Linked DNA regions of Ovis aries. The protein of the gene in region 2 interacts with the protein of the main gene of each other region in a biochemical or structural test. Links are inferred from orthologs where the notes say so. Each region holds a gene or a part of one and is shown on either strand. Other genes may lie near its edges.

Region 1 (7,954 bases), on a different chromosome or scaffold from region 2:
AGTGCCCCGGGGAAGCAGAGCAACAGGGTCCCCATTTCCCCTTCCCCACCAGATGAGCAGCAGACACCCTAGCTCCTTAGGGGGAAGTTTATTTCCCGGTCAGAAAAGGAGAAGCAGGGACAGGCTCCTGTGCATTCTAGGCCCGGGCCTGACCGGGGAGGGTGGGGTCGGGTGGGGTGGGGGCAGAGGGGACGGCTCCAGCGGTGCAAGCTTGGTCCCACGGTTGTCCTGGCTGGGTCCAGGGAGGGCCTGCTGGGGATGGTGGCACCGAGCCCGGGGGCAGAGGGGCAGGCCAGCGGGCCCAGAGGACGGCACATATGGAGGCAATAAATACTGACGGGCCAGGCACACAACTCCAGGCCGGCAGGCCAGGAGGGACAAGTAAGGCTCGGCCACTGGCTTTGTCTGCCGAGGGCTCTCTCTTGGGGCCGTGGGCTCTAGGCACTGCCCACTGGGACAAAGAAGGCAGAGGCGTGAAGACACCGAGCCTCCCAGGTGGGACTGGAGGCCGCTTTTGAGTTTTGGCAATTTGGCTTTTCCCAAGCCCCTGGAGCTGTCCCTGCGGGCCTGGACAGGCCAGGGCAGACTAGGGACCAGCACATCCCAGAAGCCTTCCCGGGCCACGGGGATCACAGACGGGGTAGGGATTGAGGGGGAGACACCACATGCTCATGCAGACACAGGGTTAGAGGTTAGTGACGCCCCCACAGCACACGTTCCACATGTTAAGGCATCATGGTTAGACCGTTACTGACAGTGATGGATGGACTGACCGGGGAGAAGTGAAAGCTTGAGGACAACCGGCCCCACGAGGCCCCACGCGGTACACCCCACCCCTACCAGGAAGGGGGCGACAGGAGTCCAGGTAACATAACAGAGAAGGCCCAGGGGACCTGAGCACCCTGAGCCCCACTGCGATGCCTGACTCCCATGCCAAGGACTCAGGTCGGGTCAGGACAGTGGGGGAATCTTGAGGGATACAGAAGGGGAGGTCGAGGCCTCCCTCCCCACAGCACAGGCGGAAGCAGCAACACTAGACCACCGAGGAGGCTGGGGCCAGCGGGCTGGAAGGGCGGAGGAGGGACAGGCCAGCCAGGAGGCAGCCCAGGGGCAGTGGCGGCAGCGTGGGCGGGCCCTGTCAGCACTTTGGTCTGGGGTCGGGGGGATGGGGTGGTGGGGTGGGGCGCGTCCGTCCTTCCGTCCGCCCGCCCTGCCCGCCTCCCGGCTCAGTCCTTCCACTCCTTCTTGATGGTGAGGTTCCATTCCCAGGACAGGTGGTCAGTCCTGTCGTCGTCTGTGAAGCGGGACTTGATGTTGTAGCTGCCTCGAGCCAGCATGCCCTTGGGCGCCTCCTCCATGGGCGTCAGGAACTCATACTCCTCCGCCCGGGGCCCATAGCTCCCCACCATGTAGTCAGTCTTGTCAACTGTGGGGCACGGGGAGGGCGTCCGTCAGGGAGCTGAGGCGGGCCTTTCCCCGCTCCCTCCCGGCGCCCCTTGAGCCCCCGGTGGCCACCTCCCTCCTGGTGCCCCCGCACTCACTCTTCACGCCTTTCCTGTACGTGTGCTGGATGTACTTCATGCCGGACACAATCTCTCGGTTCACCTGCAAGGAGGCACACAAGCGGGGCTCAGCCAGACTCTCCAGTCCGAGCCCCCAGCATCCCCCCAAGCCTCCTCCTTACCCGGAAGGAGATTTTTATCCGATATTCCACACCCTCCTTCAGCACAAAAGACTGCTTCTTGAAGCTCTCCAGATCACCTGCGTTTGAGAGGAACGCCACACTAGGAGGTTCAGGTAGGGGAAGCCACTCCGGCCCTGGTGGGGTGCCCTGTCTGCCCCTCTACACACACACACCCCCGGCATCCCAGGCCACACCAAACACACACACCCACACACCCACACCCACACACACACCCCTTGACATCCCAGGCCACACCCCAGACACCCACACACACCCCACCCTCCAATCCCAGGCCACACCAAAGCCAGAGCCTTATTAAAATCACTTGGTTGCACTTCCTAGGCTCCCCACAAGAGGGCGCCAGCATCTCAACAAATTATTTTTAGGGGAATTAGCAGGGTGCCAGGCAGCCCCAGCGAGGAACCTGGAGATGCCACTCACCTGTCAGGTCCAGCTCCAGGGGGCCCGGGGCAGTGCTACACACCAGGGTCAGTCGGGTCACCACAACATTGGGGACATTGGGGTCTGCAGAGTGACAGCAAGTTAGAGCTCCGCCAGCAGGGGAAATAGTGGCGGACACCCAGAAAAGCGACAGGTGTCCACACACCCCACCGGGGCCCACTTACCGGCAGACACAGCCACGCGGCCCAGGAGGGCCTCCTTGTATTTGCGCAGACTCTCGTCGTCCTTGTCCAGCTCCTGGATCTCCTGAATGCTCTTCTGGGCCGGGGGCTTATAGTTGACCGAGTGCTCGTCCTCCTCGTTCTCTGCCGCAATCTGTGCCAACTGCTCGGCTGTGGGCTCCTGCTCAGCCATACTCACCTCTAGCTGGATGTGAGACACCTGTGACCAGAGTAGCAGGGGCTGCGGCAGCCTGGAGGGACCCACAGTGTGTCCCCACCTGCCCTTCTGCAGGACCTGCAGGTGGTCTGCACTGGCTCTCTGCAAGTGGCCAAACCCCCAACCTGGGCCCAAGGGGAGGTGCACGTTCTCTAACAGGAAGGCAGTGACAGCCAGAACTTCATAAAAGGCCCAGACACAGGCTCCTGAAGCCCAAAGGGGCCACTCACCTCCTCGCCCTGCCCACCTCACAGGACCTCACCCCAGCATCCAGAGCTAAATGAAAGGAAAGCAGGCACAGCTTCCCTGCTGCCCAGGAAGCAGCAGCACCTGGGTCCAACCAGGAAGCACCAGGACCAAGTGCTGCTTCTTGTTCTGAGCTGCCTAGGCCCTCTCCTCAAGGAAACCCTCTTGCTGGGTTCTCTCTGACCAGCCTGTTCCTTCAAAAACGCCCCAGCTACAAACCAAGGCCTTTGTGCAGGACATGGGTCAGTCATGTCTCCCTCCAGCCCAAACACAGGTCTCCCCTAGAGCTCAGATGACGGGGCTAGCCTAAGTCCCACAGGTAAGTCCTGAAATGGCCTAAAAGACCCTACCTGTCCGACAAACCAATCTCTAATTGTGAGGGTCTGTGACCTAGAATTTGAGAACTGCTGCAGCCATGTGATGGGTAGTCTCAAGATCCTCCTTCCGCCCGGGCCCCAGAAGAGCCCAGAGCAATGCTGTCAAAGCGAGAAGTGATGGGGCAGCCACAGGACTTCCTTCGCTAAGGATGACCGTCGCACCCCGCAGAATCCCTGAGGAGTACCTGAAACCGACTCAGACTAGACCCGGCGGTGTGGGAGGTGGGTCAGGGCCACCGGTTGCCAGTAAAGACAGCCAATGCCGGGACGTGCGTGAGGACCCGATCTTACAAAGGGCCGCTGGGGACCCGGAACCGCCCGGCCGCCACAGGCAGGGTGGGGCCGGCTCGTTCTTTCCAAGCTTCCCTGCAGCTTCCTCTGGAATTCCTCTAGAAGGCTCACGCCTTAACGTCACTCAAGCGCGGCCGCAGGCGACAAAATCATTTAAGTGCGATGGCGAGGCCCGCACTTCCGCAGGGCCTGCAATCTGGGCCAGGCGAGGCCCGGCAAGCAGGGTGGGGCGCAGGGACCTCACCTCCCAGGGGAGGAGGCGTCCCGCCTGGCCCTGGTCCGCGCGCACCAGCAAGCAGGGGGCTGCCGAGTACGAGCAGCGACCACAAAAGAGGTCTGCACAGACCCCGGCTCCCACCCCCGGCACACGCGCCCCCGCCTCCAGATCCCCGCGCCCCCGATCGCACGTGGGCCCGCCCTGCGCCCGGGGCGCCGCCCGCTGTCAATGCCGCCCCCGCCCTGCGCAGATTCCCTCAGCGGGACTGGCGGGCGGGGCGGGAAGCGAGAACAAAGGCGCGGCCCCGGCCTCCTTCCCCGCGGCCGCCTCGCCCGCCGTGCCCACCGCGCTCGCTGGCCTCGCCGCCCGCACTCACCGGAGGATCGTCCGCGCCGCTCTCGCGCTCCCTCCCGCACAGAATGACGAACGTCGCCGCCCCGCCCGCGCGCGCCCTGCCGGCCACTTCCGGGGTCACGCGACTTCCGCTCGCGCCGGGCGGGCCGCGGATAGCGCATGTGCGAGGAGCTGCCGGCAGCGCGCCGCCGCCATCTTGCGGACCGGCCTCGTGGGCGCGTCCGTTTGGGCAGCGCGGCAAAGGAGACTTGTCCGGTTGGGGCTCCTGTGCTCTTTGCCACAGGCTTTTCTTAGTCCCGGGTATCCTCAGGAGTCTGCCGGCAAGCTGAAGGGGTGGGGAAGTGAGATGGTCTCGCTGAGCGCCACGAGAAACCTGAGCGCGGCATGGTATTTCTGCGAGGTGCTGGGACGCGCGTGTGTCACGGGCGCGTCTCCGTCAGCGGGCATCTCTCCCTTCGAGGGCCCGCTGCCATCACGCCGCGGGGACGAGCCGGCACAGCCGATCCCATCAAGTAGCCGAGGTCAGCGAGTGGCAGCTGTCCGGCCTTAGGCTGCCTTCGCGCCCACTCGCCGATGTCCGCCCTCCCGGAAGTTATCGTCGAACGTTCATCCACGGGTGTCCAAATAGCTCTCTCCAGGCCTTTCCCCTTCCAGCCCAAGTCACCATGCGGTCGCCCTTTTGGGAGCTCCTAGCCCAGACGCCACCAGGCGTGGCGACTATCGGACACATGCCCACGCCTTCAACCAGCGAGGATTTTGCAGCGCCAAGCCGGGCCTATGATTTGTAGCCAGGCTGGCGGAGCCTGCGCTGCCAACGCCGGTCTAGCATGCATCTCTTCTTCCTTCGCCTCCTCCTCGCGGAGTGCAAGACCTCAAATGCTTCACACCCGAGTCATCACAAACACACACCCCTGGATTGCACGTGGTGGGGGCGTTTTAGGTCACAGAACCTAATGTGAAATACTGACCTTGGTATCTTTTGGAAATGTCTTAACTTTGGGGGAATATTTGCGAGTTTTCTGTAATGAAGAGTCACATGGTCAGCTTAACATGTAGAAAGTTGAGTTGGCCAAAGGCAGAGCATTCCAATCTTGTATTTATTCCATACACACTTTTGAGGCTTCCTGTTGGCGCACCTGAAAACTGCCCGGCTAGTCCCCGACGCACTCATCCTGCGTCCTGCTACATTGCCCAATCGCTGACTGAGCAAAAGTTTGTTTTTCGATAACCCAAGTGCTTTTTGAAAACTATCTAACTCTGTTATATTAGTCACCTATTGCTGTGTAAAAACATAACCCTGGAATTTAGCAGCTTGAAACGACCAACATACACTGTCCTTACCGAGGATCAGGGAGAGCTCCGCTCGGTGGTTCTGGCTCGTCTAGTGAGGTTGTGGTTGAACTGTGAGCCAGGGACCTGGTTTCAGGATCTGCAAGCATTCCAAGCTTATGCACGTGCTGTGGGCAGGAGGCTCTGATCCTCACAGGCTGTTGGCTGGAGGATTTAGTTCCCTGCTGCCCACAGCTTCTGGCTTCTCTGTAAGGCAGCTGGCTTTCGCGGAGTGAGGCCTCAGAAAGAGAATCCGAGCCAGGGAAACAGCAAGTGCGCAAAACAAAGCCACAGTGCCCCTCACAACCTAGTATCAGAGGTGCCGTTGCTTCTGCTCTTCTGCTGGGCATGTGGAGCTTCCCCAGTACAGTGCTGGAGGGGAGCATGGGAACATGAGGACAAGGAGATGAGCTGGGCCATTCAGCCATCTTGGAGGTGGCCCACCACATGGATGGAGGCAGAAAGAATGGGAATATGAAGCCCAGAGTATCTGCCATCAGCGTCTACAGGTGCCCTCCAGCTTGTCTCCAACCCTGTGCCATGTGTGCCCTCATCTCCTTACCACGTGGAATAAGTTTGAAGCAAACCTCAAATGTTACCTCTACCATAAATAGTTCTACACACAATATTCTAAGTAAAAAGTTCCTTTGGGAGTTAATAACAGCGGTACCATCATCCCATGTATGTAACAAATTACTCCAGAACTTCCTTGGTGGTCCAGTGGTTAAGATTCTACAGGGGGAACAGGTTCAATTCCTGGTCAGGGAACTAAGATCCCATATGCTGCTTGAGGTGATAAAATGAAAACAACAACAAAAAGATGACCGCGTTGCATGGCGCTCAGCCCGGGCTATTGACACAAGGACTTTCCCACAAGGCTCCTGTGGAATTTTGGCCACTGGGACTTCAAAAACAAATGTTCCAAGAAACCTGTTTTCTGTGCCTGAAGGAAGGGCAGGGCCCAGCAGTAAGAGTAGGTGAGAATCAGGAATAGAGATATATGAAACAGTAGCCAATATTCAGTTCACAAATCACTCAGTTTATTACATACAATTACAAAGGAGGGACAAAGGGGTAATGAACCACTCCAGGGAGAAGCTTGAAATGGAGCTTGAAATGGAGGCCTGTCAGCAAGAGCAGCGTCTTTGGTCCCGGGGCCATAGGTCTCAAGGCAAACATGAATGGGAAGTTGCCTTCTGCTCCAGCAGGGCCTCTGGCAGTGTCCAAAATAGTTGGAACAGCTCTCAACAGTGTGGAGTAGGTTCCTCCAGGGAAGAGTTTTCAGTCACTGGGCATAGTGGTCTCTTACGGAGCAGCAGTTAACCCTAGGGGGAGGGGTCTTGACTCCTTGACTCTTAACAGTTGTTCTTTTTCTTCAAGTGACATACATCATCCTTCAAGCTTCTTATCTAAAGTAATACTCTTAGTTTATCACTTAAGATACTCACAGTGCTACAGCAGACATTTCAAAACAACTAACATGGAAGTTCACATTGGCCAGTGTGACTCCATTTTTAACGTATCTTCACATAGCTTAAATCCCACGAGTTTCATACAAGGTGAGTAGGAATCATAACAGAACAGATTAGATCCCACTTCTCAATGGGAAGACAAGCAAAGCATGATGTGTGGCCGCCTACCATGCACTGCCTCCCAGGACCCCTCAAAGTCTCATCCCATCATGGTTTCTAGTCAGGACTCGTGAAGATGAATCTGGGGGTGTGGCTTTTCTCAATCTGAAAATGGGGGCTGAAGACCCAGAAGACCTGCTTTGTGGCAGGAGGCAAACATATCATCTCACTCCCTGACCATCAGAATTGTGATCATAATAAAATGTGTGTTTCACACCAAGTTTTGTAGTAATTTATAGAGCAGTAAGTACCTGGAATACTAATCAAGAAAATTAACAAATTCTGTTTTTTTTAAATTATCTGTATTTAGTTTCGCTTGCACGGGGTCTTCATTGCTGCTTGTGGGCTTTCTCTGGTGGCAGGCAGGGGCTCCTCTTGGTTGTGATGCATGGGCCTCTCCCTGCGGCGCCTTCTCTTGTTAGGGAGCACAGGCTGTAGGTGCAGTCTGCAGTACTTGGATCATGCAGGGTTTAGTTTCTCCCTAGCATGTGGGATCTTCCTGCACCAGGGATTGATCCCATGTACCCTGCATTGGCAGGGGGGTTCCTATCCACTGTACCACCAGGGAAATCCAACAAATTTATCACTAAAGATAGAAATATTATTTTCCTCGACTGTACTGCATCGTTTTACTTTTGGTGAGAGCTTTGTACATGGCGTTAGTTGTGCTCATGTCTTCATAATAGGATCCTCATCTCTGCTCCTTGCAGTGTCTTGTTGAAAGACCAGGGTCACTGGTCCTTCGAGTCTCCCACAACTGTCTCTGGATGGCAGCACAACCCCCAGTACTAACATTGTGTCCCTGCTCTCCATCCTTCCTGAAGGTGCAGGTTGGACTGGCAGGAGCTGGACCCTTTTGGAATGTGACACATTTCTAGGGGGGAGAGGGATGACACTGTTTTGAACCTTTTGTCAGATTAGCAAAGAATCTTAAGAGATGTGACCTGACATGGCATGGCCATACCCAGAGCACCCAGGCTGGGGA
Region 2 (7,973 bases):
GGATTCTCCAGGCAAGAATCCTGGAGTGGGTTGCCATTTCCTTCTCCAGGGGAACTTCCCAACCCAGGGATGGAACCTGGGTCTCCTGCATTGCAGGCAGACGCTTTAACCTCTAAGCTACCAGGGAAGCCCAATGCTAAATGCTATGTAAACAATTGTAAATACAATGTAAATACTTGCCAGCATGTGGCTTTCAAGTTTTACTTTTTGGAACTTTCAAGAACTCTCCCCCACCCCCACGGAATATTTTCAATCAAGGTTGGGAGAATGCACAGATTTGGAGTGCCAACTTTGCTTAATAACCAAACTAAAATTTTATAGTTTCCTTCAGTCTAGAATCTAGAAACAGCTTAAATATCAAGACTGCTAAGGATGGCTAATGAAAGTTTAGCCCATCCCACACTTTCAATAAAAGCCAAGGCATGACTGGATTCAATTAACCAGGGCTGAGATCTCCTATGTCCCCATTCTCCCTTTTAACAGTCCCTCTATTACACTCGTGCCCACATCATTCTGAGTACTACCCGGATTTCTGATTACAAAAAATTACTCTGGTTATCAAAAGGTTATCAGCTAATCCGCAGAAACACAAGAAGTTTTTTTCTTTTTTTTTTTTTTAGTACAAAACAAAAATTCACATCACAAAAAACTATGCTTACAATGCTGTTACACTGTATATGAATTACAGTTTATATACACAAACAGCATTTAAATACATGTCATGGCATATAAAATGGCACAAGTATATTCCCATTAAAGTGTGATGGTCTCATTATCTTACTTAACAAATGCAAAGAATATCTGGCATATGATTATAAACGTTCAAATGTATGAATGATACCTTAAAGCAGGAGTCAGCCAACTTCTCTGCAAAGGGCCAGATTAAGTAAACCTTTTAGGTTTTGTGGCCCACAAAACCTTTTGCAACTACTCTCTGTGGTAGCACAGTAGCAACCATAGACAACAGGCAAACCAATGAGTTATCATGTGTTGAAATAAAACTTTATTTACAAAAACAGGTAGTGGGCTGAATTTGGTCTACAAATTAGCTTGCTGATCTCTTCTCCAGTTAACAGTAAAGATAATGTCATTTTCCAATAAATCAACTTTACTAGAGCTAAAAGTTTTTTATTTCAAATATATGTAAATTATGCAGAAAAGCAACCAATGTTTCTAGAGCATCCTATTTATATTAGAGCACCTGATGTAAAAGAAAAGTCCAATGACCTTATTGACATATATAACTAGCTTCTATAAAATGTACTTTAGAATTCTGCTAAAAAAAGTTAAAATTCTATGAATTTGCAAGAACTTCTATAAATATTGACTATTCAAAAAAACAAACACAAAAAAACACACCTATACAGGGACTTCCCTGGTAGTCCAGCAGTTAAGAGTCCACCTTCCAAAGAAGGAGGAGGAACTAGGATCCCACATGCCACAGGGCCAACTAGGCCCACAGGTCACAACTACAGAGCCCAATCGCTCTGGAGCCCATGCACTTCAACTAGGCCCGCGCTCAGCAAGGAGAGATCCCTCATGCAGCACAAAGACACCAACTAAGGCCCAATGTACTCAAAAATGAGTAATAGTAAAAAAAAAAAAAAAAAACCTATACAAATGCTAACCTGAAAAAAACCCTCTAAGAAGTGAAAGACTGGATTCGCTATCAAAAAGAACGAAGAAATAAAGAAGTGAATCATATGAACCATACTTTCTTTCCAAACAGTTTCCAGGCAAAAAGCTACATCTATCATAGGGACATTTCACTATCCAAAATCATAAACCCTTTTTTAAAGGATATTTTCCAGTGTCAGTTATATACCATTCCCTAGGAAGAAAACAAAAAGTGAATTCACCTTCAATCATGAAAAAAATTTACACAGGTACGTAAACACTTCTTATAGGAAATTCCATTTTGACTTTAAATGATGAAAAATCCAAGAAATATTAAGTACTGAATACTAAACACAGTAATAAACAAACATCCTTTCACTGTTTGTTACAAAATAACCTTACTTTTAAAGACTTTAAAATTGCAAATAAGGGATATATATATAAAGTATATATTTACCCTTCCATAAATATTGCCATTTTCTACATAGGAGGAATGGCTAATAGCAATTACCTCTGAAAAACAAGACTGGGGGGTGTTCTGGGAAGTTGGGGAGAACTTTTAACATCTTTCTGATTTTTTTAAGTTTGTCATAAAATTTATTAATTTTACAGTCATTTAAAGTGGTTTAAAATATATGCAATGTAAATGAATATTGAAAAATATACCAAGAACTAATATAAACAGTAAAGCAGGATTCCTCTGAAAGAGGCTAGAAACTGAGGAAATCTCTGGGGTCAGACGAGCCACCTACCACTCAACTGAACATATACTTGAGGCAGAAGTTAGGGAAGTTCCCCTAAAGGGCTTCTGACACGGTGAGGTTTAAAATCACCTTGTAAGAGTGTAATCTACAGCAGTCCAATCCAGTTCCACTGACTCCAGTAAGCCAAGGGTAGTTATCAGGGTCCTGAGAAGAGCTACTGGGCTGCAGGATGTCCAAGCCATCCAAGAAAGGGTGACTTTCTTGACTTCCTAGATCGACACCAATACCATAGTATTATATTAACTATTCCCTATCAAGTATGTTCCCCAACATGACTATCCTCACAGTCTTAACAGGACACTTTGTTTTAGGCTTTGGTCTTTGGGAAATATCGATTAAAATTTGTCATTTTGAAATGATGTATGTTAAGTTGAATTAAGTTAAAAATAAATGAAAAAAGTTGACTCCCATCCTAACTGAAGATTTCAGACTCTACTGTACTAGAAAATTACATTAGATTATATTAGAAGATTCAGATCTGAAATTAAGATAAAATGCATACAGACTTTCATTTCAACCGCCTGCCAAAGATAAAAATGGATAATAAAAGCCAATTCTGCTCCTGGGAATAGAGAAGCAAAAAATCAAGAAATAATCCTTGTTCTCTGATACTACTGAGTGTTAGCAAAAGAGAGAAAGAATAGCAGTCTGTCATTTGTCACCACCACAGGAAAAACATATCAATTTAATTTCCAGTTAATGCAAATGTCCAAAACAAAGGACAGACTAAACATATTTTCCCCATGCTGAAATTAATTTCAGTTCTGAGCCTCTCCTACGCTCTGCCATGCTTGGGAACACAGGAGTGAACAAAACGATGTATAATCCACAAGGGCAAGAATTCAACATTCCTAAATGCCACAAATTTTGTTTCATTTAAATATACTGTAAAGCATTTCAATGAGTATCTATTCATCTCTCACTAAAAAAACATTGTTTATTAAATACCATTATGCACTTTACAAAAGTAATTAAACAAAAGAAACAAAGTGCAATTCATTTTACAGATGAATTATAATCCACTAACTTCAAAAGAAATCTTTTACGTTTTTACCACATTTGCGGTAATTATTAGTCTTTGGAAGATAAAGCACACGTGAAAATAAGGTAGTACTAAAAAAAATGTAAATGCAACCCTGAATATTAGCCTCGCTTCTTAATTCTAATAATGCTGTTATGGTAAACGGATTAAGCCATTATTTATCCAGCAAATGAACGGGGCAATTGTTCATTCAGAGCTCCATCCGAAATATAAAAGAGTATTTAGTGCTCTAAAAAAAATGTATGCTCAGTAAACAATAGATTGCAATGCCTATTTTCGAGCGCTCGTTTATCAAACAAATGCTTACTATCTTAGGTATTTACATTTACATCATGCTTGTCTATTGCCACAGAACTCATTAACATTTCGACAAAAATCTCAAGTAGATAGATTTTAAAACATATCGTTGATGAAGCTGACTTTCAACACATTTCCAGCCTCGTTAATAACCAGTCCTTAATGGTATTTTAAAAAAAGAAAAAAACGCTCAATACATGGTGTGAATAAAGAACCATGCTACATCTGTATAGGATGTGATGCGCTCTATTTAAACTAAAATAATATAGTGTTCCACCCCACCCCACCCCCGCCCCTTTCAAAGTTAGCCTGAGAATTACGTTTACAACCCTTTAAAGGAAGAGGGGGCTGTAATGTACTCAACTTGTCTACTGCGGTCTAAGATCCAAAATCCGAGAAAGTTACGGGGCTCGGGGGGCGCCCGCAACTTCAGCAGCAGCAGGTAGGGCCGGGGCCGGAGCCGCCAGGGCCGCCGCGCGGGTGCGGGGGCCGCTCGCGCCCCGAGCCCCGTCACGCAACCTCCCTTTGCCGCCACGGCGGAACTCACGCTCTCTAGTAATTCAACACCTTTGCTTTCAAATCGGAGACCAGGGAGAAATGGTAATAAATTCCTTTCCTACCACAGCAAAAAATGATAATAATTATGTCATTTTTTTCTACGCTTAAATCTGCATTCTCAAGACTGCCTAGAAGGGACGAGCCAGGCCGAGCCCGGGGCGGCGCCCGAGCGGCGGGAGCCCGACCGAGCCCGGGGCCGACGCGGAGGGCGGACCCGCGCCCGGGGGGCAGCAGCTCGCCGCGGCGTGTTCAGGCCGCGGCCGAGACGCCGGCCAAGCCTCGCGGCGTCCGCGACCGCAGGAGCGGCCTGGCCTGCCGGACCGTTAGGACAAGCGGCGCCGCGGCCCTGGCGGCGAGGCCAGCGGGCAGCACCGGGCGCCGCGACTTCTCGCCGCCACCTCAGCGGCTCCGGCGGAGCCCGGGAGCGGCCGTGGGGGAAGGGAGCGCGCCGGCGGCTTACCTCAGGAGCGGGCGGCTGCTTCCCGCCGCGAGAGTGGCCGGGCGCTGCGCGGCGGCGGCGGGCGTCGCGGCTGCGGCAAGGGGAGAGAGAGAGAGAGAGAGAGAGAGAGAGAGGCGGCGGTGGAGCGAGCGCCGGGACGCCGGAGAGTAGAGGTACCGCCGCCACCGCAGACAGCTCCGCAATATGGCTGCCCGGCGGCTCCTCGGGGGAGAGGCGGGGCTGCCCCGCGCCCCGCGCCCCCCGCCTCCCCCTGCCGGCCGGCCGGCCTCGCGCCGCGGCCCGAGCGCCAACGCCGCTGCGGCGGCCGCCACCCCGCCGCCCGCGCCCCGCCCCGGCCCGGCCCCGCCCAGCCCCTCGGGCTCGCGGCCACTCGCCGGCCCGGGCGTCGCCCGCGGGCAGGGAGGGTCTCCGTCCGGGGCGGGGACGCGCGAGGACCCGGGCGCGGCTCCGGAGTCCCTAGGGAACGGGGCCGAGCGCGGGGGTGGGCCGCTCCTTCCGTGAGGGGGACTGGGCTAGAGTGAAGCCCGATGGCCCGGGAAGCGGAACCGCCCAAACCCAGAGCTGGGAGTGGGCCTGCCGCCTCCCCGCGACCGGTGGAAACTTGAAACTCCCGCTGGTGCCAGAAAATTCAGAGGGCGTTTCCATCGCCCCCAACAAGGCATTCTTTCCCAGGGAATCAACGACCGAGTGGAGCGCGTTACTTGGCTCTTGAAAGCTTGAAAACCCTGGATCGGGAGAGAAAAAAAGGCCTGCCTTAGAGGGATTTATATAGACAATGAAGAACTTTATTTTGGCAGTGTTTACCCAACCAGTAAACTTACTTTTTCAGGGACAATTTTTAGGCCCCACCAAAATCCCAATCGAGAGTGCAAATTTTTATCCGGGCAAGGAAGAAGTCAGTAAAAGAAAATTGATGGAAGTGGGACACCGCAAAGAGCAGCCAAACCTAAATTATCTTTGACTTTGTGAAGTTAGGCATTTGATCATGGTCTGACTAGCCCACTCGTTTTAGTAGTGGTCGGGGCTAGACAGACTTACGGTCATTGTTCTGTCATCTACTCCCATTCCTCTTGTATTTTCTGGGATTCAAAGAGCAAAACTTGCTCTACGTATGGAAATAGCAAGTGCACAAAATCAGAGTAGCCTAGTTTGACCTGCTTTATATAGTTTACTTTTTATTAACAAAGTTTGAAAATGAAAAATTTGCTCAGTCGTGTCCAACTCTTTGCGACCCCATGGACTGTAGCCCGCCGGGCTCCTCTGTCCATGGAATTTTCCAGGCAAGAATACTGGAGGGTAACAATTCCCTTCTCCAGGGGATATTCCTGATCTCAGGATGGAACCAAGGTCTCCTGCATTGCAGGCAGATTCTTAAGGGTCTGAGCCACCAGGGAAACCCATTCAAATACAACCTCACCCAGTGTACTCAACTTTTTTAGAGCAAATAATCGGTATCCTTCTTGCTTTTCTGTTTGTCTTCCCTGAGACTATGGCTTTTTCCGGAAACTCTCCTCTGATCACTTTCATTAAATTTACTCTTAAGCGTGTTTCCACCATTGCCCTTTGAGACCACTTGGAACAATTAAAAGTCTCAAGTTAATTCTAAGGCCTTTAGAGTGCAGAGTCCTCGAAGATGGGAACCAGGTGTGTGCTTTTCTTTAACTATAGGATTACTCCCTGACCTTCTCCCTGGGGTGGAACAATTATCCCGGTGATTTTTCAGACTTCTACAACAAGCTGCATGCATAAAGATAGTCAAACTATTGTGTAAATTCCTAGATAGTACACTAATCAAACATACTTTTGTGACAGAAAATGAAGCATTCATTATCATGTGTCACATGACAGGCACTGGTATGAAATGCTTTGTAAGACTGGCTTTTTAAAATAATTATAACAACCCTGAGTTTGAGGTAAATGTTATTGACGTTTTTAAAAACCCGTAAATAGAGCCTCAAAGGAGTTAAGTAATTTGCTTACTGTAACACAGCTAGGAAGTTGTGCAATCTGACCAACCCAGTATCATTTGATTCCAAAGCCTTGATTTTATCCTATACTCTTCAACAGCAAACAGAGGAGAAACTGTAACACTTCAGTCAGCTATCATGTTAGTAACTATTTAAATGAAGGATAATATTCAGTGCTGGTGAGATTAAAAAGGTGCTGAGAGACATTGTGAGTGGAGTGTAAACAGAAACAACCTGTTTAGAAAAATTTGGCACTGTGATTCAACCTATAAAAATGTTCATACCCTTGTAACCCATAATCTCATATCTGGGATTCTTGCTGAATGAAATAATCTGTAATAGAGCAAAAGTTTTATTCATAAACTGTATGTCACAATTTACAAGATGCAAAAATAAATATTGTGGAAATTAAATGTCTTGAAGATAGCTATAAATATTTGGTAGCATTTTAGGTAAAAACTTAAAATATATAGCATTAAGTGGTAAAAAAAAAAAAAAATACCGCTACAAGTTGTGAAACTAATCATGCAGTATGATCACATCTATGTTTTTCTTAAAAAAAAAAAAAAAAAGACACCTATGAGGTGTTAGACAAAAAGAAAAATTGAAACACAGAGTTGTCTCAGGATAGTGTTTCTACGGGCATCCGTTACCCCCTGCCCCTTATTCTAGTCTTCATTATATTCTGTACTACTTTTGCAGTGAAAAAAAAAATTTTTTTTTAAGGCTTAATTGAAAATTTTCTTTCTCAGTTTAATAACAACAGTGCAGATTTTAAGTGTTAAAAAGAAAACTCACACTTGTGAAAAACTACTTTAAAAAGAAAAAACCCTAATATTATCAATAGTTGTAAGAAAAACTTTCCTGTATTGCACATAGTATATATATAAAAAAGAAAGGAAAAGCTAATGCAGTGGCCCTCATAGTCAACAAAGAGTCCGAAATGCAGTACTTGGGCTCAATCTCAAAAACAACAGAATAATCTCTGTTCATTTCCAAGGCAAACCATGCAATATGACAATAATCCAAGTATATGCCCCAACCTAATGCCGAAAAGCTGAATTTGAAATGTTCTATAAAGACCTACAAGACCTTCTAAAACTAACGCAAGAAAAGATACACTTTTCATCAAAGGGGACTGGAATGCAAAAGTAGGAAATCAAGAGATATCTGGAGTAACAGGCAAGTTTCACCTTGGAGTACAAAATGAAGCCGGTCAAATGCTAACAGAGATTTGCCAATAGAACTCACTGGTCATAGCAAACACC

Evidence for each region.
Region 1: the proteins of RDX (region 2) and ARHGDIA form a complex in vitro, tested with the Homo sapiens proteins (2 studies listed by BioGRID and IntAct). The link is inferred for Ovis aries from reciprocal best matches to the Homo sapiens genes RDX and ARHGDIA.

The regions. Positions count from the first base shown.
Region 1 is NC_056064.1:50,517,630-50,525,583, reverse strand, and holds ARHGDIA (rho GDP-dissociation inhibitor 1), read right to left. Parts: upstream 4,077-7,954; 5' UTR 3,333-4,076; intron 3,247-3,332; 5' UTR 3,121-3,246; intron 2,528-3,120; 5' UTR 2,501-2,527; coding exon 2,311-2,500; intron 2,210-2,310; coding exon 2,126-2,209; intron 1,762-2,125; coding exon 1,685-1,761; intron 1,606-1,684; coding exon 1,542-1,605; intron 1,427-1,541; coding exon 1,227-1,426; 3' UTR 74-1,226; downstream 1-73. UniProt on the Homo sapiens protein: Controls Rho proteins homeostasis. Regulates the GDP/GTP exchange reaction of the Rho proteins by inhibiting the dissociation of GDP from them, and the subsequent binding of GTP to them.
Region 2 is NC_056068.1:20,030,112-20,038,084, forward strand, and holds the start of RDX (radixin), read right to left. Parts: upstream 4,924-7,973; 5' UTR 4,739-4,923; intron 1-4,738. UniProt on the Homo sapiens protein: Probably plays a crucial role in the binding of the barbed end of actin filaments to the plasma membrane.